7 linked regions of the Macaca mulatta genome follow. The protein of the gene in region 1 interacts with the protein of each later gene in a biochemical or structural test. Links are inferred from orthologs where the notes say so. Each region holds a gene or a part of one and is shown in the gene's direction. Other genes may lie near its edges.

Region 1 (3,500 bases):
AACGTCAGTCTCATCCCTGATTTCTGACGTTAATTACCTCCCGTATTACCAGGGCAGGTTCTGGTTTCTCCCTCATTCTTACTTTAACCACCCTATGCCTGTGCGTTTGGTAAAGCCACTCTCGACCTGACTTATAAAGAAGGCAGGAAATGGAGGTGTGACATGGCGTGAGAGCCGGGCCCCGGGCTCTCGCTGGCTTCCCAGGATCAGCCAGGCTGCCCTGGGCCTGTTCTGGCCATCAGGCCCCTTAGGGCTGAGCGGAAGGGGAGGTGCTGGCGAGGTAGTGTCTGCTGGAGCGGGGACCAGCAATGTCCTCCTCTCAGCCCCTGCCTGTCCACCCCCCTGCAGCTCCTGCTTCAATGGTGGCACCTGCGTGGACGGAATCAACTCGTTCACCTGCCTGTGTCCACCTGGCTTCACGGGCAGCTACTGCCAGCACGATGTCAACGAGTGTGACTCACAGCCCTGCCTGCATGGCGGCACCTGTCAGGACGGCTGCGGCTCCTACAGGTGCACCTGCCCCCAGGGCTACACCGGCCCCAACTGCCAGGTGAGTGCGCCAGCCACAGAGGTGCCCGAGGGAGGGGCTCTGGGTGGGTGCCTGCCTGCAGGGGGCGGGAATGGTTACCCCCAGGTCCCACCGTGTCGGCTCAGGGTCACCCCTACACTCCTGGGCAGAGGGCTTCGGGGATCTGAGCAGCCAGTGAAGGAATCTGATGCGGGAGCAGCAGGCATCTTCATTTCAGTCTGGGTTTCTGGAGCCAGGGCAGGAGCTCAGGAATTGGGGGGATTGAGGAAAGACGTTCCTTCTAGCAAAGGCCGAGGGTGGTCTGGACCTGCTGAGGGCCCTGAGGGAGACCCAGCCCAGGCTGTTTTCCATGTGGGGGCGGTGGGGAGTCCAGGGACGGCAGTTTCCACTTCTGTAGAATGGGTTGAGGCCCAGGTTGGAGTAGGCCCCTTGGTGGATGTGCGTTCTGAGCTACTGGGGAAATGGCCAGGGGGGTGGGCACACGGCTGACCCCAGCCTGTCCCTAGAACCTCGTGCACTGGTGTGACTCCTCGCCCTGCAAGAATGGTGGCAAATGCTGGCAGACCCACACCCAGTACCGCTGCGAGTGCCCCAGTGGCTGGACCGGCCTTTACTGTGATGTGCCCAGCGTGTCCTGTGAGGTGGCTGCGCAGCGACAAGGTAACCCGCTGTGCCCACCCGGCTCGGGTCCCAGCCCGCCAAGGTCCTCCGTGGGCCTGGGCCTCACCTGTCCCCCACCCCAACCCCCACAGGCGTTGATGTTGCCCGGCTGTGCCAGCATGGAGGGCTCTGCGTGGATGCGGGCAACACGCACCACTGCCGTTGCCAGGCAGGCTACACGGGCAGCTACTGTGAGGACCTGGTGGACGAGTGCTCACCCAGCCCCTGCCAGAACGGGGCCACCTGCACAGACTACCTGGGCGGCTACTCCTGCAAGGTGGGGGCCCATCCTAGGGTGAGGGTTGTGGCCGACACGAGTGTTGCCACACACTGGGCCCTGACTGGGAGCTGGCACAGTGGAGAAAACTGAACCTGATAGGCCCATGCACCATTCAGTCTCATTACGGGAGGGCTGGGGTAATCAGGGTAGACCACCTGGAAGAGGCGGCCTGTGGAGAGCCCGAAGGAGGGTGAATATTGCTGAGAAGTGGGATGGGGTTTTCCCTTCCTCTAGATTGTGTCTGGGCTTGGCCAACACCTACCCTGAGACCCTCACCTCTATCCTACGGGACGGAGTCCACCCACCCCCAACAGGCAGTGACTCCGGTCACCGAGGCCCCGCCAGGGTCTGTTGGGCTGGGTCTCCCTCCAGGTCTGACAGGAGCGAGGGGCCTGTGGCTTCGCTGGACCTGAGGGCAGCTCACGTGGCCCTGTCAGCCCTCATGGTGGGGTGGGGGAACGCTGCATCCTGGCACCAACTGAGCCGCAGGGCCCCTTGTTCTGTTGCCTGCACAGTGCGTGGCCGGCTACCACGGGGTGAACTGCTCTGAGGAGATTGATGAGTGCCTGTCCCACCCCTGCCAGAACGGGGGCACCTGCCTTGACCTCCCCAACACCTACAAGTGCTCCTGCCCACGGGGCACACAGGGTAAGGGCCACCGCACGGAGTGCTTATCGGGCATCCATGGCCAGGGCAGGGGTAGGGCAGGCACCCCGTGATCGGCCCGAGGCATCCAGGAACCAGCCAGAAACTCCCAGTTTCCCACGTGAGGCCAAGGCCAACGCAGAGCTGCCTGGGGAAAGGGCCCAGAGTGGGGGGCCCAGCGGGAAGGGCGTCTCCACGGCACCCTCTGCACCTGGCTCACCCGAGCGTCCGTGCAGCCCCAGACCTGAGCGCTTGTTGTCTGGGATGGACACGCGGCACGGCAGGGCTGGCACAGCAGTGAGTTCGGGCCGCTGATGGCACCTGGCCCCACAGGTGTGCACTGTGAGATCAACGTGGACGACTGCAACCCCCCTGTTGACCCCGTGTCCCGGAGCCCCAAGTGCTTCAACAACGGCACCTGCGTGGACCAGGTGGGCGGCTACAGCTGTACCTGCCCGCCGGGCTTCGTAGGTGAGCGCTGCGAGGGGGATGTCAACGAGTGCCTCTCCAATCCCTGCGACGCCCGCGGCACCCAGAACTGCGTGCAGCGCGTCAACGACTTCCACTGCGAGTGCCGTGCCGGTCACACTGGTGGGTGCCGTGCCCGGGCGGGTGGGGCTTGCAGGGCAGCAGGGTGAGCCTCTCACTGCCCTGCTCTCACCCCCAGGGCGCCGCTGCGAGTCAGTCATCAACGGCTGTAAGGGCAAGCCCTGTAAGAATGGGGGCACCTGTGCCGTGGCCTCCAACACCGCCCGTGGGTTCATCTGCAAGTGCCCTGCGGTAGGTGCAGGGGTGCAGGGAGGTGGGGGCCCTCCAGGGGAGACACCTGGGAAGGTCCACCTGAGGGCCTTGGGGCACAGACTGGGCAGCGATCCTCACAGCCTTCATCTTCCTAATCACCCTGACATCATTTTTTTTTAGTTTCAATAAATGATTTTAGAGACATTTTAGATTTATAGAAAAATGGAGTGGAAAGTAGATGCCCTGGGGTGGCTCTCCCCTGCACGCAGTTCTCCTGATTAGCAGCTTGCTATTTCACTCCAGATTTCACTGATACATTGTTACCAACACCAGCCCTTCCTGTAGCTGGGGCTTGCCCTTGGCTTTGTGGTTGTAGGTTTGGGCTGAGGTATGACACGCCTGCCCACCCTCGCAGGATTATGGCAGAGAGTCCCTGCCCTAAAGTCCTCAGCGCTCCACCAGTGTACCCCTTCCTCCATCTCCCGACCCCCTGGCACCCCCTAATTTTTCTCTGTCGATAGAATGTTTGTAAAGGGTTTTGCTGCTGGGGACAAGGCTGTAGGCTGCCTCCCAGGTTAGGGGAGAGCGGTGGAACTGCTGGCCGGGGGCTGGGCGCGAGGTGGCGGGCGGTGGGGGACGGCCCAC
Region 2 (4,285 bases), on another chromosome or scaffold:
TTTTTGTTTGTTTTGTTTTGTTTTTTGTTTTTGCCAGAAAAACACTCCACCAAGAAGGTTTTTATAACCTAGTGGAGGAGGAGGACGGAGAGTGGGCACAAAACGACTAGGATGAACATGCTATAAGGAATCTGAATGCCACTGCAATATTGCCTGGTAAGGACCTGATTACCGATGTTTTAAAGCTAAGCTTTCAGTTGTCACTCGACCCACTAGTGAAACAATGAGCTCTAAAATATATGTTTCAGCTCAAGATTTCTTATGTGGGGAGGTAATGCACCCCAAGGTATCCCCAGCCTGTGCCTAGTACAGCGCCCAGCACTAAAGCAGCTCAGATGCCAGTGAACGGTGGTCACTGGCAGGCCTGTCAATGGGTGCCAGTAGCGGTCTCTTCAGAGAAAAAGAAAACTCCCCTCTGCCAGATCAGTATTTTATGAGCTGTAAACCAAAACCATTGCTACCACCATCACTATAATTCTATCCACAGTAATTATCATAAAGGCCTAACAATGCCTTGTAGATGAATATTGAGTAACTGCCCTATAACGAGGATATTTAAGACCGCACCAAAAACCAGTAGAGGGTTATACTTTACTGGACACAAGTCGGTTATGATAACGAAATTCTAGTTTAATCTGTGAAGAGATCTGAATGTAACTGAGACACATTTAAATGGAATATACAGATGAGCTTTATTTTTATATCTGGCATGCTTGGATCCACGCCGACCCTCCAGCTGCTCGGGCCTGCCCTTAGGGGCTATGGACCGCATGACTCTATCAGCGGCACCGCCGCCGCCTCCGCGCCGCCTGTGTTCCCGGACCACTGGGCCCGGCTGGCGCTTCCTGGGGGCGTCCCTACCGGCTCCAGCCCTCGGGATTTGGGAGCGCCCGGCTAGGAAGCCAGAGTCACGCCAGGGATCCCGGCGTCCAGGCCGCCTAACGCGCGCCCCTCGCCCGGCGCCCCGAAGCGGCCCCGAGGGGCGGGAGCCCAACCGAGCAACCAGGCCGGGCCGGGGGCGCACGGCCCCCAAAAGTGCGGGCTTCCCCCACCCCCGGCAGCGACCCCACCTCCCGCCCCCGCTGCGTGCGCGCGTGTGTCCGTCTGTCTGTATGCTCTCTCGACGTCAGTGGGAATTTCCAGCCAGGAAGTGAGAGAGTGAGCGAGAGAGAAAGAGAGAGAAGTGCACCAGCTAGCCGGGGCAGGAAGAGGAGGTTTCGCCACCGGAGCGGCCCGGCGACGCGCTGACAGCTTCCCCTGCCCTTCCCGTCGGTCGGGCCGCCAGCCGCCGCCGCCCTCGGCCTGCACGCAGCCGCCGGCCCCGCTCCCGGAGCCCAGCGCCGCCGAGGCCGCAGCCGCCCGGCCAGTAAGGCGGCGCCGCCGCCCGGCCACCGCGCGCCCTGCGCTTCCCTCCGCCCGCGCTGCGGACATGGCGCGGCGCTGACTGGCCTGGCCCGGCCCCGCCGCGCTACCGCTCGCCCCGACCCGCACCCGGGCCCGCTCGGGCTCCGGCCGGCCACCGCCTCTTCCCTCTCCAGCCCGCAGGCCCGCGCCGCCCAGGAGGGAGAGACCCGCGCCAGGAGGCCGAACGCGGACTCGCCACCAGGGTAAGCCAAACTCGGGCGAGTGGGGGCCCGGCAGGGGACGCGTGGCTCGAGTCCCGCCATCCAGCTCTCCGCACCCCCTCCAGCCCCACTCGGACTTCCTCATTCCTGCGCTAACCGCTGGGCTAGACCGTGGGAGGAGGTTGACAGTAGTGAGAGGCACATGGGATTGGCGACAGCGGGGTAAGGCACATCCGGACCTCGCAGGGGCTAGTCGGCCGAAGGGCCGTGGCTGCCCGGCGCTGATTTCTCTTCACGTCCCTCCGCGGGGTGGGAACGCGAATCGGAGGGGAACTCTTACAAACTTTTAAAATCCCCCAACCCCAGCCCCAGCTGGGGGATAGTGAGAAGGTTGAGGTGCGCTGCGGCGCGGAGGAGAGAGGGAAGGTGGTTGGTGCAGTGCAGAACCAGATTTCACCTAAGGGCGTTCCATGAAATGAAAGAAGAAGTGCTTGTCAGTCCTCCTGGCAGGGAAAGCCCTCTCCAGCTCCCCAGAATTGAATAGGAGAGTCTATTCATCCCTCTCCTACTTCTAAAAGAAGCCTGGCCCTCTCTCTGTCTCTTTTTCTCTCCCTCCCCCCACCCCTCCGTACACACACACACACACACACACACACACACACACACACACACACACGATATAGTCACCTGCTATAGGACTTGATTCTGATCCTCTGGGGCCTGGCATTTGAGAGAGAAAATAAATTACCTAGTTGGATACTTAGAGCACTTTTTAGACTTGATTATGTAAAATTCTTGGACAGTGCCACCATGTATTATGCATGACTTCTGAAACAAAAATAATGTAAAAACAAAGCCTATCCTAAATGTAAGTTTTTCTATGGTCCTTAAAAACAGACACCAGGGAATGTTTGCCCTGACTTACTGGTCTATCCTGAAACTGAAATGGGACTTAATGATACAGGATTTAATTATCAAGATTTGAGACATTTTCATGGACTTTGTTAAGTAGAGGTTTTCAGCATTACAGTTTATGAAATAACCATATTTAACTCAAAGATTTTGTTATAAAGCTTATAATCTGAAAAAATGCTTATGGTATTACTAGAACATTTAATAACTCTGGCATCAAAATATTCTACACACTGGTGATCTTTAGTAAATACTAAAGGTTAGGGTCAAGATGTTCAATAATTTTCTTCTAGCAGAATCCCACAACTGAATATTGTCAAGCAGTTTAAACTGCATTCGTGTTTGTTAAAACTTTAAAGGGAAACTTAAAATTGAAGTATGTTGTTTTTCTGATTTTAATATTGTGCTTTCTAGAGATGAATCCTTTTACTGCTTGAGGCACTATGGGAATTACGTGTTTAAATGTATGTATTTAAATTTGAAGCAGTGTACTTTTTTCAGTTTATAAACTTGGGAAGACAGGAAACGAAAAGATTTATTTCCTGTAGAATTTTACGTTCATGATTTAATTGAATTGCTGAAATGAAAAGAACATATACGATGAATGGAGACTTGGAATCTGAGATTATTCATCCATATTGATACACCTGCAATTCCTAAATGCCCTCCCCTGCTTGTTTAGATAAAATGTCTTCCTGGTCTGCAACCTACTGGACAAACTTGAACACAAAGGAACACACGTTTTATGTACATTTAATACTGGAACCGAAAAGCTGCTTGCAGTGAAAAGCAAACCACTTCTAAACTCTTTGACACTTTTTAAGGAAAATAGTATAATCGTTTTGGGGTTGGTGGTGATTTGAAAATCTTTTATCTTTTTTTCTGAAATTTCATTCTTACATTCGTCGTTGGCACTCACTTGTGCTGAGTAAATGCCCCTGTTTTTCAAACCCAGATAGTAAATACTGGGGTATACATACAAAAATAGTCCTTCCCCTTTGTAAGCATTGCTTTGATCTTTGCACTTCCTTTTTACTCTACCTCTTAAACAAGATCTGTGATGACTGAGTTGATTAAAGCACAATTAATCTTGAAATAGGAAGAATTTTAGATTTAGTGATCATATTCCTTACATTTCTGTTGTTACTGTTCCTGGAAACAAATTGAAGTAGTCTGAGAAACTAATTATTTATGTAGGTTGTTTTAGCTACACTTTTAGACTTGCAGATAATTGATTAAGTAAGTTACTACCTTGACTTTCAGGGATTGCTCATTGTGGTAGATACGAGGTCTAGATAGGGAATTGGCAGCTACATGAATGTTGGACTATCATTCCATCAGCAAGACCTTATTTTTACCTAATTTATGAGAGGTATTTCTCTCTTCAGAAGAGGTGAAAGTTCTGGCTTCTGGGGGGAAGTGGTTACTTCATAACCTTCAATTGGTTTGAACTTGGGAGAAGTAAGAAAAGTAGTCGATATTTTCAAACAATAAAATAATTGTGTCTGAGTTGCTGCATGGATTTTTCATGAAGTCCTCAAAAATGTCATCTTTTTCATCTTCAGGTCTTAATAGATGTGCTCTTCTGAGCATAGAATTGACTGCAGTAGGAAGTGTATCTGGAAATGCACAGTACTGTTGTATAACCAATAGAGTAAATACTCAGATTATGCGCTTCTAGTCCACAGATTGATCAGAAATCACATTAACAGGAATGGATGTCTATGAATGAATGGCTATGCAAAATTTCTCATTAGCTTTTTTACTTTTAGTAGGAAGTTTGTTTTATTCGGTTGGTCTCTTGGTTT
Region 3 (4,016 bases), on another chromosome or scaffold:
GTATTTTTAGTACAGATGGGGTTTCATCATATTGGCCAGACTGGTCTCCAACTCTTCACTGTGATCCGCCCGCCTCGGCCTCCCAATGTGTGGGATTCCAGGCGTGAGCCACCGCGCCTGGCCCACTTATATGTTTCATGGCATCCCACTTATGAAGAGATCAGGCTCCCTATTTTATGTAACGTGGGAATGGATCTTCCTGTTAATCTCCTCTGCTTAGCGTAAGGTCTAGCAAGAGCAGACTCTCTGTAGGTGTTTGTTGAACAAATGAAAGCAATGATAGTGGTTATTAGTAACAATCCCAGTAGCCAATTTTTATTGACTGTTCTCTTGGCCAGTGTGCTCACATTAATCTAATTTGAACTTCACAGAAATCTTACGCTTGACGACATATTTGTGTTATTCACAGGTGAGGAGACCAACGCTTAGTGAAGTGAAGTCGCTTGTCTGAAATCACAGCTAGAAAAGGGGCCAAAACCCGAGGGTGGGCCCACTGGCTGGAAAACGGTGCAGTCAGGCAGGGGCGCCTGCTTCTCAATAATGAATGGACCAACGACCCCCAAGGCTGGTTTGCCGTGCACACGCACGCACGTGTGCAACACGTAGCACTTGCTGAGTGCTTGCTACTTGCCAGGCCTCATGTCACTTTGCGCGTGCTTTTATGCCCTACGTTTTGTTTCTGTTTTCCTTTTTTCCCCTAATGCCTAGCAAAAGGCGTGGCCCAGGCGCCCAGGCAGGCCTTAGGGAGTGAATGAAGAGTGAACGAATGAATGAATGGGCGGCAATGGGATCTTCATAAACCTGACCCTCCTCGGAGATCTAATGCGAACACTGCCGAGGCCCGGGCCCAGGGACGCCGAGGGCGGCTCGTGGGCCCCCGGCCGACCAAAGGCCGCGGCTCCCGAGCTCCGGGGGCCCAGGTGCCAGTAGGTGAGGAGCCGGGGCCCGCCGGCGCCTCGGCGTTGCCACCTCCACCTGCCTGCTGCCTCCCCTTCCGGCTTCGCAGGCAGGACCCGGCGGGCTCTTAGAATGCAGCCGCCGGGCATCTTCCGCCCGAGGGTCGCGGGGCTCAGAGTCCGGCCGGTTCCAGGCGGGGCAGGGAAGGTCCGCGGCCCGGCAGACGCACGCCCACCTGTCGGCCGCGCAGGCGCAGCAGCACGCCGGCCTCCCCGCGCCCCGCGGCGCGCGGCCAGTGCGCAGGCGCGGCGGCCGATGCGAGTGTGTATGTGCGGGCGAGAAGATGGCGGCGGCGGGGGAAGCAGCGTGAGCAGCCGGAGGAACGCCGAGTCCCATTGAAACGGGCAGCCATGGCCCTCCACAGCCCGCAGGTAGCCGCCGGTCCGCGCCTTCGGCCGGAAGGGGCCCCAGCCCGGGGCGGGCGGACGCCGCAGCGGGCGGGCGCCCGCGCCCTGCCCGGAGCGAGCGTGTGGGAGTGGGGGAGGGCGCCGGGACACGCTGCCCGGGCCTAGGCCGGAGCCACCCGCCGCCTCCGCGCCCGTCGCGCCTTCGTCCCCCTGAGCCACCCAGGCCCCCTAGTCCCGGAGAGGCAGAGGGACTGGGGCTCCGGTCCCCGCCTGGGGAGGGCGTGGGGGGCGCCGAAGGGGTTAACCTCCCTGGGGCTGGACCGCGGGGCGAGCCCGGGGTGTGGAGTGGGGCCCTCCCCGCCGCGCCGGCCCAGGGAGGCGGCCCGGGGGTTCCGGGAGTCCCCTGGAGCGGCAGGAGCCCCAGAGCAGCTCAGGTTGCTGCCTCTACCCAGAGCGAGCCTCAAAGATTTAGGGGTGCCCTGTTGCCCCTTTGCCCCCAAAGCTTCCTTTTTCAGCTTGATTGATGACGCGGGGGCTGCTGATTTTCTGGTTTTTAGATAGAAGTCGCTGAGTAGCGGCGTTAGGCTACTGTTGCAAAGAAAACTCGAAATAAGTCGCAAGGACCGTACTTTCACTTGCATTTGAGTGACATCCCTTGCACGAATCCATCCCAGCCAGGCTGACACTAACGCACCCTGCCTGAACACTATCTAAAGCTTAGGGGCCCTTTACAATAATCCCGTAGTGGAAAGAAAGAGCTCTTTTTGGGAGATGTGCGTGTAGAGTTAAGCTCTTATTCACCTCTCCCACCCCTTCTCCCACCCCATGTCTCCCCTCCGCCATTGTAATTATTCTGGACAAAAATCGGCGTGATGTTATTATTTGTCAGTCTTGCTTTAGACTGCTAATTTGTTGACATCTGGTCCCTATAAATTGTTGCACACTTTTTAACCATCTCATTGTGTATTTGTATTAAATATGGGGAAATGAAACAAAGTAGCCATTCGGAAAACTGGTGGCGGGTAAAATCATAACCCTTCATAAGCAGTTGGGTTTTGTTGCCGTTCTGCAGATGAAGTCAATCTGACTAGACCTCTTTTGAAACATGATTTTCGTAACTATTGTAATGAATGCGTGTTGTGGAATCTAAAATGCGAAAACTTTTTTGAAAATTAGATGTTACGACAAGCTTCAATTGTTTTAAATTAGCTGTAGTGTAGTTTGCATCAGAACTTCCCCCTTTAACGTTTTGTTCCTTTGTACATTTACTTTTGTAAGTAGTATAGGTCTTTGCACGAAAGAAGGCATCAGCAGTTGAATAGTTTTTACAAATGTATAACACAAAGATTTTAAGAGATTTGGTGTATTTAGCTTTGTTTATACCTTTCTATTTTAAACAAAAAAAGATTTGATATTTGCTTTTCCTCAACTTAAATACTAATTAGCCTATTTAAATTGGTATGAACAAGTATAAGTCTCATTATGAATTAATGTGTAATATTCCTTGTGATTTTGACATGAAGAAAGCATCTTTAGGCATAACTCACTTCCTTTATTTAATAAGCATCAATCACAATTAAAGGTTGATTGAAATGTTAATTAATGGGGATGGATAATATGTAAACTTAATTGTAAATTCGTTGTCCCAGTATTTACATTTTATACAACAGTCTAAATCGTCGTTATATACATCTTTAGAAAATTGGAGTAGCAAAAGTTGGCGAACAGAAATGTTAGCAACACTTTGGGTTTATTCTTTTAAAGTGTGATTTAAATGCTTTTAAGTTCTAGCATGGAGAAAGTAGCAAAGGAAATAGTTTGATTTCTCATAATTTTCTTTTCTTTTTTTTTTTTGAGATGGAATTTTGCTCTTGTTGCCTAGGCTGGAGTGCAGTGGCGCCATCTTGGCCCACTGCAACCTCTGCCTCCGAGGTTCAAGCGATTCTTCTGCCTCAGCCTACCAAGTAGCTGGGGTTACAGGCGCCCGCCACCACGCCCGGCTAATTTTTTGTATTTTTATTAGAGAGGCGTTTCACCATGTTGATCAGGCTGGTCTCAAACTCCTGACCTCAGGTGATCCACCCGCCTCGGCCTCCCGAAGTGCTGGGATTATAGGTGTGAGCCACTGCCCCTGGCCGATTTCTAATAATTTTCAATAAAAAAAATAGTAATGGAAACAAGTAATGGAATCATGTATGACAGGATTTAGTTACTGGTTCCTGCTCGAGTCATTCTGAGCGTTTTAATAAATTTGTTTTATTTGTTTGCCTACTGTTCTAAGAGTCTTGCAGCCTTAATGGCCATTCTTTCATTCAGCAAATACTGATTGTTTATCAGGTGTTAAGCGCTATGATATGCATATTACTTGTTTCTGTTGGGAATAACAACTGCAAATTAAAGGTCTTATTTTAAATTTGACTTGTCCGGGGCGGGGCGCGGTGGCTCACACCTGTAATTCCAGCACTTTGGGAGGCTGAGGCGGGTGAATCACCTGAGTCTGAGCTGGAGACCAGCCTGACCAACATGGAGAAATCCCGTCTCTACTAAAAATACAAAATTAGCGGGGCATGGTGGCATGTGCCTATAATCCCAGCTACTCGGAGGCTGAGGGAGGAGAATCGCTTGAACCCGGAAGGTGGAGGTTGCAGTGAGCTGAGATCGCGCCATTGCACTGCAGCTTGGGCAACAAGAGCAAAACTCTGTCTCAAAAAA
Region 4 (2,693 bases), on another chromosome or scaffold:
TCACCAAGGCATGCTGTCGTTCACACAGCCAGAAAATAAGACATTTGTCTGGTAGCTAACCAAGTGTCTTGGAAGACAGGCCTCTTGAAAGTTAATGTTTCAGTTACAAATTGCTACCAGATTTTCTTATATCCCTGCTGATCCTAAAATACTGAGGACATAGGTTTCTAAATATGTATCATTTCAAATGTTGCATTTATTGTATGTTGTAAAGTAGAAGTCTACAAATTATAATGTAACTAACCCATAGCCATTATTTCTAACCAGTAATTAAATTCTTTTGGTTTTTGTCTAGGTCCCAACAAGCATCAGAGTGCTGTGACCTGTTTACAGTTCAACAAGAACTTTGTAATTACCAGCTCAGATGATGGAACTGTAAAACTATGGGACTTGAAAACGGGTGAATTTATTCGAAACCTAGTCACATTGGAGAGTGGGGGGAGTGGGGGAGTCGTGTGGCGGATCAGAGCCTCAAACACAAAGCTGGTGTGTGCAGTTGGGAGTCGGAATGGGACTGAAGAAACCAAGCTGCTGGTGCTGGACTTTGATGTGGACATGAAGTGAAGAGCAGAAAAGATGAATTTGTCCAATTGTGTAGACGATATACTCCCTGCCCTTCCCCCTGCAAAAAGAAAAAAGAAAAGAAAAAGAAAAAAATCCCTTGTTCTCAGTGGTGCAGGATGTTGGCTTGGGGCAACAGATTGAAAAGACCTACAGACTAAGAAGGAAAAGAAGAAGAGATGACAAACCATAACTGACAAGAGAGGCGTCTGCTGTCTCATCACATAAAAGGCTTCACTTTTGACTGAGGGCAGCTTTGCAAAATGAGACTTTCTAAATCAAACCAGGTGCAATTATTTCTTTATTTTCTTCTCCAGTGCTCATTGGGCAGTGTTAATGCTGAAACATCATTACAGATTCTGCTAGCCTGTTCTTTTACCACTGACAACTAGACACCTAGAAAGGAACTGCAATAACATCAAAACAAGTACTGGTTGACTTTCTAATTAGAGAGCATCTGCAACAAAAAGTCATTTTTCTGGAGTGAAAAAGCTTAAAAAAATTACTGTGAATTGTTTTTGTACAGTTATCATGAAAACCTTTTTTTTTTTTTTTTTTTTGCCAACCATTGCCAATGTCAATCAATCACAGTATTAGCCTCTGTTTATCTATTTACTGTTGCTTCCATATACATTCTTCAATGCATATGTTGCTCAAAGGTGGCAAGTTGTCCTGGGTTCTGTGAGTCCTGAGATGGATTTAATTCTTGATGCTGGTGCTAGAAGTAGGTCTTCAAATATGGGATTGTTGTCCCACCCCTGTACTGTACTCCCAGTGGCCAAACTTATTTATGCTGCTAAATGAAAGAAAGAAAAAAGCAAATTATTTTTTTTTATTTTTTTTCTGCTGTGACGTTTTAGTCCCAGACTGAATTCCAAATTTGCTCTAGTTTGGTTACGGAAAAAAGACTTTTTGCCACTGAAACTTGAGCCATCTGTGCCTCTAAGAGGCTGAGAATGGAAGAGTTTCAGATAATAAAGAGTGAAGTTTGCCTGCAAGTAAATAATTGAGAGTGTGTGCAAAGCTTATTTTCTTTTATCTGGGCAAAATTTAAAACACATTCCTTGGAACAGAGCTATTACTTGCCTGTTCTGTGGAGAAACTTTTCTTTTTGAGGGCTGTGGTGAATGGATGAACGTACATCGTAAAACTGACAAAATATTTTAAAAATATATAAAACACAAAATTAAAATAAAGTCGCTGGTCAGTCTTAGTGTTTTACAGTATTTGGGAAAACAACTGTTACAGTTTTATTGCTCTGAGTAACTGACAAAGCAGAAACTATTCAGTTTTTGTAGTAAAGGCGTCACATGCAAACAAACAAAATGAATGAAAAAGTCAAATGGTTTGCCTCATTCTCCAAGAGCCACAACTCAAGCTGAACTGTGAAAGTGGTTTAACACTGTATCCTAGGCGATCTTTTTTTCCTCCTTCTGTTTATTTTTTTTGTTTGTTTTATTTATAGTCTGATTTAAAGCAATCAGATTCAAGTTGGTTAATTTTAGTTATGTAACAACCTGACATGATGGAGGAAAACAACCTTTAAAGGGATTGTGTCTATGGTTTGATTCACTTAGAAATTTTATTTTCTTATAACTTAAGTGCAATAAAATGTGTTTTTTCATGTTAGTATGCCTGTTTCTTCCACTGAAGTAATAATCCTTCATTATAAGTATTTAGGATTTGTCTATAATATTTAAATCAGCAAAATCTTGGTTTCTTTGCATCTCCTGCTGTGTGGCATAGAAATCAATACTTCAGACCTGTTTTATACAGCAAAAGTAAGGATAATGTGCTGCAACTGCAAATCTTACTTCTCTCCTAGACTATGAAGGAGGACACTCCACTGTGCTCATCTCTGTAGATTGCATTGGGGTATATAAATATGAAATCTGGTTCCATCAAAGAATCAACAAAACTTTTGTGATAATTACAACTAGAAGCCTTATAAATAACAAATTCATTTTGAAATTTTGACCACATATTAAGTGCTTACCCTCGATACTTTCTGTTCATTCTCTCTCAAGCTCCCACTATCCCTGAGAAGTAGGCACTATTATCTCCCGTTTTAAAGACGAGCAAAAACCTGCAGCTGAGACTGGTTAGGCAATTTGTCGAATCATAGAACTAGC
Region 5 (3,939 bases), on another chromosome or scaffold:
GAGTGCAGTGGCGTGATCTCGGCTCACTGCAACCTCCATCTCCCGATTCACACGATTCTCCTGCCTCAGCCTCCCGAGTAGCCGGGACTACAGGAGCACACCACCACACCCAGATAATTTTTGTATTTTTAGTAGAGACAGAGTTTCACCATGTTGCCCAGGCTAGTGTGGAACCCCTGAGCTCAGACAATCCGACCGCCCCGGCTTCCCAAAGTGCTAGGATTACAGGTGTGAGCTACCGCGCCCGGCCAAGAGTTGATCTCAAAACAGGGAGATTATCCAGGTAAGCCTGATCTAATCACACGAGCCCTTTAAAAGCAGAGCATTTTTCTCCAACGGTGGCAGAAGAGGAGACAGAAAGATGTGCTTCAGCTGGCCCGGGAGCAAGCAAACATCCATGTTGTGAACTACCAATAAATAGGGTTCATGTGGGAAGGAGTTGAGAGTGATCCCTAGGAGCTGAGGGTGGCCACCACTAGCAGCACACAACAAAACAGGGAAGTCGATCCCACAACCGCCAGGAACTGATTTCTGCAAACAAGAATGAGTTAGAAGATGGATTTTTCTCCAGAGCCTCCTATGAGATTTCAGCCTTGTCATACCCTGGGCAGGGAACCCAGACGCTCGGTAAATTACCAAGGATTACAAAATATCTCCCCAGGAGATTGTTTTGGGTGGTAGGAGGATACGGTTTAAAGAAAAGTTTTGAGTATGAATGTTTTCAGAGTCCAAGAACTCTCCATTAGCCAGTCTCACTATTACCTATCGTTTTAAACTCCCTATCACCCTTTCACTTACAGAGCTGTCCCGGGGAAGCTTTTGTATTTTGTACCCTTTCTGGGGGAATGGGGCTGAGTAAGGAACGTAATAAAGCGGCCTAAACAGCATCTCCCTCTATCTTTGATATTTTGCCTAGGGAACGCCCTATCATGTCGCATATAAGCGATCGAGTTATGTATTTGTTGCTAGCTGAAGAGATTATTCCTTGATAACCGCTTGGTCCGGTCAGAATAGAAACGAATGGTACTCCCGTTCAAAGAACTACAAATCCCAGAAGGCCTTTCGGCCAGAGCGCCTGCGCATCGCGCGCTCCTTCCTTTCCGCTCCTCATCATCTGGAAAGACCCGCCCCGCGGTGCTGTCGCTCGCGCTGGAAGAAGCGGAAGAAGATGGCGCTCACCAGGTGGGTTGTTGATTGGGGTCCTCGATACGGAAGGGTCTGGGAGTACCAATCTTTTTCATTTCTCTTCCCATACTCTTGGGGCGGTGACCTGACCCGGGGCACAGAATGACGTGGGCCAAAACTACGGCTACGTCCTCCCGCTGGCCGCCGCTACGACTAGGCCTAGTCGAAGCTGGGGTCTTTCCGCGGTTTCCCGGGTTTAGTTCACCCCTCACCGAGGCCGAAAGCCGCGGCGTGGCCTCAGACACTGAAGACTGCATTTTTCGCTTAAGCATCTTGCGGGGAGCGAATAACGCTCCCTCAGGTCCGCGGCTCGGGCGAACAAGAAGGGGTTGGGGACGGTAGTGGCTTATTTGGGCGGAGTGAAGCGCACGGGCTGCGACTGCGCGGCTTTCCGGCCGTTTGCCTGTGTCCCGAAACAAGGATTCCTGAAAAAAGGGACCCGGAGCTGAACAGAGATTTAAATGAGCCACACTAGTGGCAGCTGTCTGCTGATATGCGCCACTGCTCCGCACTTTAACTTTGGAGCTTAGAATTTCTTCCGTAGATAGAACCACCTCAGAGTTTTGCTGTTTTCGGTTACCTTAGTAACTGTCTGTAAAGTGCTCCTTGCCTTTAAGAAAAAGATGCTTTCCAGTGGGAGAGTCCGAGAAGTTACGCTACCCCTGCTAGTCCCCAACGTTGCTGCCCCACCTTAAGTGGGAAAACTTTACATGCGAACTGAACAGGAAAAGTCTAGTGTTCAGGAAGGTTGTAGAGAAAGTAGTCCTTTTAGGACATCAACTTGAGCCCTCTTAACACCCTTCATTCTCCTCACGCATGTTTTTTTGTTTTTTTCTGGCTGATGACAGTATGAATCCAAAAAATTACTTTGGGAATTACTGTTGGTGCTTTGCTCTGTCCTGGGGATTGTGTACACAGAAGAAAATCTGTCTTTGGCAACAGGGAAGATGGGGTACAAGGTATACAGACATAAAACAATCACAGAACACAAAATGCACATTTGTGTTATACTAACCTTAGTGCAAAAAGAATTAGATGGAATAAGTTGTGTGGGCTGGAGAGTTTTCTTTCCCCTCTCCTTTCTAAAAATTTTTTTGCCTTTTTTTTTAAAAAACTATTTTTTTGAGATGGAGTCTTGCTATGTTGGCCAGGTTGGTCTTTAACTCTTGGCCTCAAGCAGTCCTCCTGTTTCGGCCTCCAAAAGTGCCAGGCGTGAGCCACCATGCCCGGCATCTGAATTTTTTTTTAATAAAAAGCTAGAAATGGGGTGTCACTGCGTTGGCCAGGGTGGTCTTCAACTCCTGGCCTCCATCAGTCTTCTCACCTAGGCTTCCCAAACTGCTGGGATTGCAGGCATGAGCTACCATGCCCAGCCAAGAGTTTTTTCTTTAGTAAATGTTACAGGCAGCAAACATTTGAGTACCCTCCAGGTGTGAGACACTGTGTCATAGACTAGTAAAGTTATGAGGGGAGACTTCGTGGAAAAGGTGGAATTTGAAATGGACACACAGGAAAAATTTCTAGAAATGTGATGGGTATTTTTTTATTTTATTTTTTGATGCAGGGTCTCACTCTTGCCCAGGCTGGAGTGCAGTGACCCAATCACAGCCCACTGCATCTTCAACCTCCCAAGGCTCAGGTGATCCTCCTGCCTCAGAGTAGCTGGGACTATAGACGCTTGCCTTGATGCCCAGTTAATTTTTGGTTTTTTAGTAGAGGTGGGGTTTTGCCATGTTGCCCAGCCTGTTCTTGAACTGGGCTTAAGTGATCCACCCATCTCAGCCACCACATCGTGTGGCCTGTCATGGGTATTGTGTGCTTAAAATTGCAGTGGCAGAATGCAGTATTCAAATGACCAGTCTTGGGGACTCCAGAGCTTTCCATACCTACCATCTGGGGTTCCTCAGTATTCTTTGTAACATCCTTTAAACCAGTAAACGCATTTCCCTGAGTTCTGTGAGCTACCCTAGCAAATTAGTTGAACCTGAGGATGAGGTCATGGGAACCCTGGTTTGTAGTCAGTTGGCCGGTGACCTGGACCTACTATTGGCATCTGAAGTAAGGGCAGTCTTGAGGGACTGAGCCCTCGACCTGTGACATCTGACACTATCTCCAGGTAGATAACATCAAAAATGAATTGAATTAGAGGACACTTGACTGGTGTCCAGTAAACAATTGATAGCTTGCTTGATACGTGGGGAAAAACCATCATGTATCTGGTATCAGAAGTGTTGTGTGTTGTTGATTGTTGAGTGAAATAATAGGAGAAACTGAATTTGTTTTAATTTTATACTCTATCCACATGGAGCTTACATTCTACTGGGATAGAAAGACTATGAGTAAAATCATAATGCAATTTCAGGTAATACACGCTAGGAATAAAAGAGGGTTAGAGAGTGACTCAAAGTTTGGGGTGAAGTGGCTATTTTGGGTAAGATGGTCAGAAAACAGCTCTAGAGAGAGGTAACTGAGCAGAGACATGAGTGCTAAGATGCAAGCTGTTGAAAGATCTGGGGCTACTCTAGGCATACTGCCTATGGGATAGCCCTGCTCCTCAAGGAGCAGTCACAGAAGAAGACATCTGGAGAAGAGTTTTCTATAAAAGCATACGAAAATTTGTTCTGTGTTTTCGTTTTTGTTTTTTTGGTTATGTTTTGTTTTGTTTTGTTTTGTTTTGTTTTTTGAGGCAGAGTCTCACTCTCACCCAGGCTGGAGTGCAGTGGAGCAATCTCAGCTCACTGCAAACTCCACCTC
Region 6 (3,500 bases), on another chromosome or scaffold:
AGGAGTGTTCAGCTGGGTTCCAAACGGGGATGATCTCATGAGGAATGAGCTGTCTGCATTCTTTTTGCCACATTTAAATCCCAGCAACTAGGCTGCGCTGGGTTTTGCACAGAAATGCCTGGTGGCTTTCTGCTCTTCTGTTGGGGGCTGGTTAACTAGCAGCTGGAAAGTTATCAATTAGCGTTCTTATTGGATAATGGCTAGGGAGAGGGATCAGATGCTTAAAATAGAGGGAACCTCTAGTATCTTTTATTTAGCTAGCTTATTAAAAGGTCTCATGTCTCCGACAAACTCTGGCCTGTTCTTTTCTTTTTTACAAAGTGGGGGAGATGCGGGTTGAACTTCATTTCTCATGCTCATCCCCATCTCCTTTCAGATGCAAATGAATGTGAGGCCAAACCTTGTGTAAACGCCAAATCCTGTAAGAATCTCATTGCCAGCTACTACTGCGACTGTCTTCCTGGCTGGATGGGTCAGAATTGTGACATAAGTGAGTGACTTTGTTTCCATTTTGATTTTCATGGAACTTGGGTAGCCGACTTGCTGGTCTGTGTTGAGGCTCCAGTTCTACGCCTCGAGCAGTAGAAGGAAAACCTTAGAGTGGGAATGTTTTTTTGAGAGGGAGTGGTCAGTGCAGCAGTGAACACACACACTTTATCAGGCTCATTTAGCTGCTAAAACCAGCCATATTCTGATAATGTGGCTGAAACAATGATGTGAAGTTTCACTCCCTCATTCTGGAAGAATTAGGGAGGGTCCCCACCCAGCGTAATAACCTTATCTCACGGGAAGCACACAGGAAATCTGATTTGAAACTTATCTATCCTGAGCTGAGAAGGCTTTTCAATTAAGCCCAATTTCACTGTAAATTACCTCTTTAAAATGATGACTTATTTATTTTTTAGATATTAATGACTGCCTTGGCCAGTGTCAGAATGACGCCTCCTGTCGGGTATGTAAATCTTTGCTTAAATCAAAACTTTGACAATTGACAACAAATCTTTAGATTTGTGTGACACTGGGAGAGCTCTGTCCCTGTGAGATTTAAAAACTCGGGTGAAAAACGAGCCTCTCGGAAGTTTCACTAGGGCTTATATTACCCCAGCCTCGTGGGAGTCATTTTGAAGGCATGCACGTAGAAATTCCTCTAACCGTTTTCAGAGGTTTGGCATTTGGCTATTTCAGTGAACCAGCTAAACCGCAACAGTCATGCTAAACCACTGAAGCCCTGTGTTTGTGGAATACATAGAAAAAAAAGCACGTGTCTCTCTCTCCCCTTCTCCTCTTCCAGGATTTGGTTAATGGTTATCGCTGTATCTGTCCACCTGGCTATGCAGGCGATCATTGTGAGAGAGACATCGATGAATGTGCCAGCAACCCCTGTTTGAATGGGGGTCACTGTCAGAATGAAATCAACAGATTCCAGTGTCTGTGTCCCACTGGTTTCTCTGGAAACCTCTGTCAGGTGAGTGGTGGCAAAACCTCAGATGGCCAAGTTTTTACAGCAGAGCCGCTGCCTCCTCCGCTTCCCCTTTACTCCTCCCTCAGCTCTTATGTCTGGAATTTCCTGACATCTATTAACATCCTATTGATGAGTCTCTGCTAGACAAATGCTGGTGGAAGGAGATATTGACGAATTATTTTCTTCTTAGTGTCTTCGTCTTTGTGTTCTATTTGGTTCCCTCCACCCCCTCTTGGGCTCCCTCTCCCACTCTGCTCCATTGTTTCAAATATGGACATTGGCAGTCCCTAGGGCATGGACATGTATCTTACAGGGTGACTTTAATAGAAACAGAAGGAACTGTCAGATTCCAGTGCCTGCTGCCCCAGAGAAGTTATCATGACACCTTTGTTTTACCCTGATCCCTCCCCCTTTTCCCTGTTCCTGATATTTGCAGCTGGACATCGATTATTGTGAGCCTAATCCCTGCCAGAACGGTGCCCAGTGCTACAACCGTGCCAGCGACTATTTCTGCAAGTGCCCCGAGGACTATGAGGGCAAGAACTGCTCACACCTAAAAGACCACTGCCGCACGACCCCCTGTGAAGGTACCTCCCTTCTCCTGGGACCTGGCTGTCTCCACTTTCTCCTTTTGTCCCTACTTACTACCACTGCCCCTTGCTACACTTGAGAAGTAATGTATTGGTGAGGAGGACCGCTACAGTGAAATGATCCTGTCTGTGTAGCGGGCCGCAACACGTGGAAACAATCTATTCAGGCCTGCCAGTGGGAGAGCCATGTCTACAAGTAGCCCAGGGGAGAGAATGTGAAATCCATTTAGCATTCCTGTTCTGGGGTGGGCTGATGTGCAACGCTGAGGCAAATGCCTGAGAACAACACTGTCAACAGAACTTCCTGCAACGGCAGACTGGGGGAATGTTCTGTATCTGCACGGTCAGGTGTGGGAGCCCCAGGCAATGTAGACTGTGACTAGCGCAACTAGAAACTGATTTTATTTCATTTTAGTTCATTTAAATGTAAATAGCCACATGTGGCCGGTGGCTGCTGTATTAGGTAGCACAACATTTAAAGCTTCTATAAGATTGTCCTTGAGCCTTGCTTAAGGTCAAAAAGGAAGTGAATAAAGCAGGTCCTTTTTCCTTAGCAAGTGTTTACCAAATTGGGTAGATGTCAAAAGTAGCATGAAGGGGACCTGCAAACATGTGGGTTTTCCTGGTTGTGGAGGGAGAAAATGCTTTAAAACTCTTTGCCTGGAGTCTCGACTTTGCCACATCATAATGTGATGTGGCATGTTGCCAGTATCTTGGCTTCCCTGGGGTGTGTCTCATTAGCCAGAGGGTCCCTGTCTCCAGGAAAGTGGGCTTGGCCCAGGCCCTTGGCGTAGGAATGCTGCGTCTGTGGGTGCATGACTATGATCTGATCCCAAGCCTATCTTCTAGTGATTGACAGTTGCACAGTGGCCATGGCTTCCAACGACACACCTGAAGGGGTGCGGTATATTTCCTCGAATGTCTGTGGTCCCCACGGGAAGTGCAAGAGTCAGTCGGGAGGCAAATTCACCTGTGACTGTAACAAAGGCTTCACGGGAACATACTGCCATGAAAGTAAGACTCCCTCATCCGGGAAGGGACCAGTGCTCCCCGGTCTGCCCCTGCCCCTGCCCCGCCTTGGGATCATTGGTGTTGAAAGTTTTTTCTTTTTTCTTTTTTTTTTTGAGACCAAATTTCGCTGCTCTTGCCCAGGCTAGAGTGCAGTGGCGCCATCTTGGCTCACTGCAACCTTGGCCTCCCAGGTTCAAGCAATTCTCCTGCCTGCCTCAGCCTTCCTCAGTTGCTGGGATTACAGGCATGTGCCACCATGCCCAGCTAATTTTGTATTTTTAGTAGAGATGGGGTTTCCCCATATTGGTCAGGCTGGTCTTGAACTCCCAACCTCAGATGATCCACCCTGCCCACTCGGCCTCCCAAAGTGCTGGGATTACAGGTGTGAGCCACTGCACCCCGCAGTGTTGAAATTGTTTTAATCAGAAACAGCAAGG
Region 7 (3,500 bases), on another chromosome or scaffold:
ATCCATTTCATTAAATGCTGCAAAGAGGTAATATTCTAATTTTTTAAATTCATAACTTCTGTATTTGTTAGCTGGAGTTTTTTCTACAAAGAGGAACTTTGCCATATCAGCTATTTGCTTCAATTGTAGTATGTAATGAAAAGGTAGGATTAGTTGCTTGTTTACTCATTTGCAGAACAATGATAACATTCCTTGAAAGAGACCAGTGGGGTTTTAGAGTTTTTGTTTTGTTTGCTTTCTTTTCATTTTGTTTTATTATGAGCTCATGGGTTTTTTTTTTTTTTTTTTTTTTTGTATTGGTTATATTTTAGTCCACTCAGTACACTAATATCACTTAGTTTTTATTATGGAAAAATTTCAAACACACTCAAGTAGACAGAGTTGCATCATAAAATGAAACCTCTTATGTTCATTCTCTAACTTCAACAGTGATCTTAAATTCAACCAACCTTATCTTCATCTATACCTGTACTCCAGGCCCACTTTCTTCTGCCCCTATTTTAGTTTGATGGATATCCAATCAATGTTCAAATGTAAAATGGTCTAAAGTGTTATTTTAAAAATCAGAGTGCTTGAATCAAAATTCAAATCTGCCACATAGTACAGTTTATACTGTGACATGTCCTTGAGTATAATCTATGAACACCCCCCCACCCCCCCAACCCCCGCGCCACACACACACCAACTCTTGCAATTTATTTAAGTAAGTTGAGACATTTGGCCACTAGAGATTTCCATATACTGGATTTTGCTAATTTCATTTATTTGGTGTAGTTTAATGTATTTTCTGTAAATTGGCAGAGTCAAAAAGAAATAGAGCGTGGGCACTAGTTGGAAAGACAGATTTCATTCAGTACTATTGCAACAGGGGAAAATATAACCAAATTCCATTTCAGAATACAACAAAGACAAGTGGGGATGAAGCAGAGTGAGAGGGTCAATGGATGGAAACTTACTAAAAGGAGACATCAAAGGTAGAAGGTTTCTTTCTGACCTGACTTAGGATTTGTGCTAAAGGCAGGCCAAGATGATCATAGATCCAGAGTGGGGGATAATTTAGGAGGATTCTTGCTACAGCTGAGCTAAGCAGACTGATGACAGGGCTCAAGGACAAATACTAGTTGAATGCTCGGAGCAGCCTGCTTAAAAGTTTGGTCAAGGAGAGAATCTTTAGTCTAGAATCGTGATCAGATTTAAGTTTGTTGTCCTTTGTTTCTTGTTTTCTTGCTGGAAAGCAAGACCTACTCCTGTACTAGGAGGTATATTATGTTTGTATTCAGGCTATTTGCATTTCAAATTACATGGTTTTATATAACTGCTTTAACTTTGTGTTTGTACTGAATATTAGTTTCTTGATGACAGAGAACATATTTCACTTTCAGAATATTTTTCTGCTTACATAGATTTATTTTCAAGAAATTTCATATGGTACTTTAAGGTATTTAGAAGAAAGTAGAATTTTCTAAAATCACAGTATGCAGAGGCATTTACCATCAACTCTGATAAACATCCTTCTAGTCCCTTTTCTATGCATGTATTCTGTGTAATTGGATGAAAACTCATATTAAAAATGTATACATTTGCCTAGTGGAACCACAGCGTACAGAGTATTTTATAGTCTGCTTTTCCATTCAGTGATATTCCAGGAAAATATTTTCTTACCAGTATATTTAGATACACATCCTTTAAATAGATCATCATTTAAATTTCTACGGTCTAACATTCATTATTTTAAAAGTAAGTTTTTCTGTAATAATCAGCACCACATTAAACATACTGTGTAGCTTTCACTGTAAAATTATTTTTATGGACATTTGATATCATTAGCTTGACATTATTAGTAACAGTTACCTTGACTTCTTTTTTTGGTGTCATCTATACTGTCTTGGAAAGTGAAAATATTTGTCAAACTGTTAAATGATAAGAAAGAATAATTATACACTGCCAAGCAGAATTTCCTCTTTTGCTCCCTCCCCACCTTTTGCTCCAATCACATAAATAAGAGCTCTTTTTTCTTTGCAGTATGCATTGCCTCAGGAACAAAGGTGGCTCTGTTTAATCGACTACGATCCCAGACAGTTAGTACCAGATACTTGCATGTAGAAGGAGGTAATTTTCATGCCAGTTCACAGCAGTGGGGAGCATTTTTTATTCATCTCTGTGAGTATAAAAATGTGCAATGAATGTTTTTAGTGTGAAATCGTTAAATTCTTTTGATGCGATATATGGATATATTAAGTTTTGTCATTTGCCTAATCATAAAATGAATTCAAAAAGGTAACAATTTGATTTCTTTTTCCACCTACTGTAGTGGATGATGATGAATCAGAAGGAGAAGAATTCACAGTCCGAGATGGCTACATCCATTATGGACAAACAGTCAAACTTGTGTGCTCAGTTACTGGCATGGCACTACCAAGATTGGTATGGCTCTACTTTTGCTTTAGTGATAATGTGAAGTAAAAATTAATTCTTTAAACAGGAAAGTCACAACATTCAAATGGAAAAACACACCTCAATTTTATGCTTTTTAATTTTAAAAGATGTGTTAGTAATCAGAGCTGTTTATAATTGACAGTTATACTGTACCTTATTTCAGAAATGCTTTAAGGTAATTAGCCAGTTTTTACAAGTACATTCTTAATGATTTTTTCTTAAATGATTTCCAATATATTTTGGTGGCAATTTCCTTTTTAGCTGTTTATCTGAAGATGTTCAGTAGAGGGCACTATAAATTACATTTGTTTTCTTTACTAATTCAGATAATGTATTCATTTTTTTGTGGTACCTGCCATATCCCAATGTAGGACCAAGTTTTCATAAAGAAGAAATTCATATTTCTTTTAAAATATAAGCATAATTTTTGTTAGCTTACTGTCTCACAAGAAGATAGATTTATTAAAACTTAAATAAAATTGGTGTTTCTAACTTTGGGAGAGGAGCATAGGATTTAGGGCTTTTGTTCAATAGAAGACATTGAAACTCAGCCACGCATGGTGGCTCATACCTGCAATCCCAGCACTTCAACAGGTGAAGGCAGGAGAAGGAGAGGTGAGTAGCCCTGGCATCACTTGAGCTCAGGAGTTCGAGACTAGCCCTGGCAACATGGTCAGACCTTGTCTTTACCCCGCGCCGCCCCCCCCCACCCAAAAAAAAAATTTAGCCAGGCGTGGTGGTGCACACCTGTAGTCTCAAGCGGAAGTGGGAGGATCACTTGAGCTTGGGAGGTCCTGGCTACAGTGAGCAGTGATCGTACCACTGGACTTCCTGGGCAACAGAGTGAGATCCTATCTCAACAACCACTAAAAAGGAGATCTTAAACTGTAAAAACTGCTTTTGTTAGTTAAATGAAAACAAAAGTGCTCTATAGTGCCACCCCCTCCCAATTTTCCCTCTCCTTTTCTGAAACAATACAATTTATTTATATTCAAGATGAAGGGGATTTATGAGTAAGTTTCATTCAAGGTCAAACTGAAGAGGTTGGGTGAGTAGAAGAACAT

What was found.
Region 2: the proteins of NOTCH1 (region 1) and NFKB1 form a complex in vitro, tested with the Homo sapiens proteins (2 studies listed by BioGRID). The link is inferred for Macaca mulatta from reciprocal best matches to the Homo sapiens genes NOTCH1 and NFKB1.
Region 3: the proteins of NOTCH1 (region 1) and USP10 form a complex in vitro, tested with the Homo sapiens proteins (2 studies listed by BioGRID, with this or other methods). The link is inferred for Macaca mulatta from reciprocal best matches to the Homo sapiens genes NOTCH1 and USP10.
Region 4: the proteins of NOTCH1 (region 1) and FBXW7 form a complex in vitro, tested with the Homo sapiens proteins (2 studies listed by BioGRID and IntAct, with this or other methods). The link is inferred for Macaca mulatta from reciprocal best matches to the Homo sapiens genes NOTCH1 and FBXW7.
Region 5: the proteins of NOTCH1 (region 1) and SNW1 form a complex in vitro, tested with the Homo sapiens proteins (3 studies listed by BioGRID). The link is inferred for Macaca mulatta from reciprocal best matches to the Homo sapiens genes NOTCH1 and SNW1.
Region 6: the proteins of NOTCH1 (region 1) and JAG1 form a complex in vitro, tested with the Homo sapiens proteins (3 studies listed by BioGRID and IntAct, with this or other methods). The link is inferred for Macaca mulatta from reciprocal best matches to the Homo sapiens genes NOTCH1 and JAG1.
Region 7: the proteins of NOTCH1 (region 1) and RBPJ form a complex in vitro, tested with the Homo sapiens proteins (5 studies listed by BioGRID and IntAct, with this or other methods). The link is inferred for Macaca mulatta from reciprocal best matches to the Homo sapiens genes NOTCH1 and RBPJ.

What each region holds. Positions count from the first base shown.
Region 1 is NC_133420.1:5,990,607-5,994,106, forward strand, and holds part of NOTCH1 (neurogenic locus notch homolog protein 1), read left to right. Parts: intron 1-348; coding exon 349-550; intron 551-1,035; coding exon 1,036-1,189; intron 1,190-1,281; coding exon 1,282-1,466; intron 1,467-1,984; coding exon 1,985-2,117; intron 2,118-2,447; coding exon 2,448-2,705; intron 2,706-2,781; coding exon 2,782-2,894; intron 2,895-3,500. UniProt on the Homo sapiens protein: Functions as a receptor for membrane-bound ligands Jagged-1 (JAG1), Jagged-2 (JAG2) and Delta-1 (DLL1) to regulate cell-fate determination.
Region 2 is NC_133410.1:111,853,814-111,858,098, forward strand, and holds the start of NFKB1 (nuclear factor NF-kappa-B p105 subunit), read left to right. Parts: upstream 1-1,485; 5' UTR 1,486-1,607; exon of another isoform or gene 1,608-1,767; coding exon of another isoform or gene 1,768-1,787; intron 1,788-4,285.
Region 3 is NC_133425.1:80,065,905-80,069,920, forward strand, and holds the start of USP10 (ubiquitin carboxyl-terminal hydrolase 10), read left to right. Parts: upstream 1-1,216; 5' UTR 1,217-1,307; coding exon of another isoform or gene 1,308-1,328; intron 1,329-4,016. UniProt on the Homo sapiens protein: Hydrolase that can remove conjugated ubiquitin from target proteins such as p53/TP53, RPS2/us5, RPS3/us3, RPS10/eS10, BECN1, SNX3 and CFTR.
Region 4 is NC_133410.1:160,920,560-160,923,252, reverse strand, and holds the end of FBXW7 (F-box/WD repeat-containing protein 7), read left to right. Parts: intron 1-295; coding exon 296-564; 3' UTR 565-2,193; downstream 2,194-2,693. UniProt on the Homo sapiens protein: Substrate recognition component of a SCF (SKP1-CUL1-F-box protein) E3 ubiquitin-protein ligase complex which mediates the ubiquitination and subsequent proteasomal degradation of target proteins.
Region 5 is NC_133412.1:150,979,795-150,983,733, reverse strand, and holds the start of SNW1 (SNW domain-containing protein 1), read left to right. Parts: upstream 1-1,139; 5' UTR 1,140-1,168; coding exon 1,169-1,182; intron 1,183-3,939. UniProt on the Homo sapiens protein: Involved in pre-mRNA splicing as component of the spliceosome. As a component of the minor spliceosome, involved in the splicing of U12-type introns in pre-mRNAs.
Region 6 is NC_133415.1:73,373,568-73,377,067, forward strand, and holds part of JAG1 (protein jagged-1), read left to right. Parts: intron 1-376; coding exon 377-490; intron 491-905; coding exon 906-952; intron 953-1,291; coding exon 1,292-1,465; intron 1,466-1,898; coding exon 1,899-2,049; intron 2,050-2,901; coding exon 2,902-3,066; intron 3,067-3,500. UniProt on the Homo sapiens protein: Ligand for multiple Notch receptors and involved in the mediation of Notch signaling. May be involved in cell-fate decisions during hematopoiesis. Seems to be involved in early and late stages of mammalian cardiovascular development.
Region 7 is NC_133410.1:25,461,973-25,465,472, forward strand, and holds part of RBPJ (recombining binding protein suppressor of hairless), read left to right. Parts: intron 1-2,022; coding exon 2,023-2,160; intron 2,161-2,311; coding exon 2,312-2,424; intron 2,425-3,500. UniProt on the Homo sapiens protein: Transcriptional regulator that plays a central role in Notch signaling, a signaling pathway involved in cell-cell communication that regulates a broad spectrum of cell-fate determinations.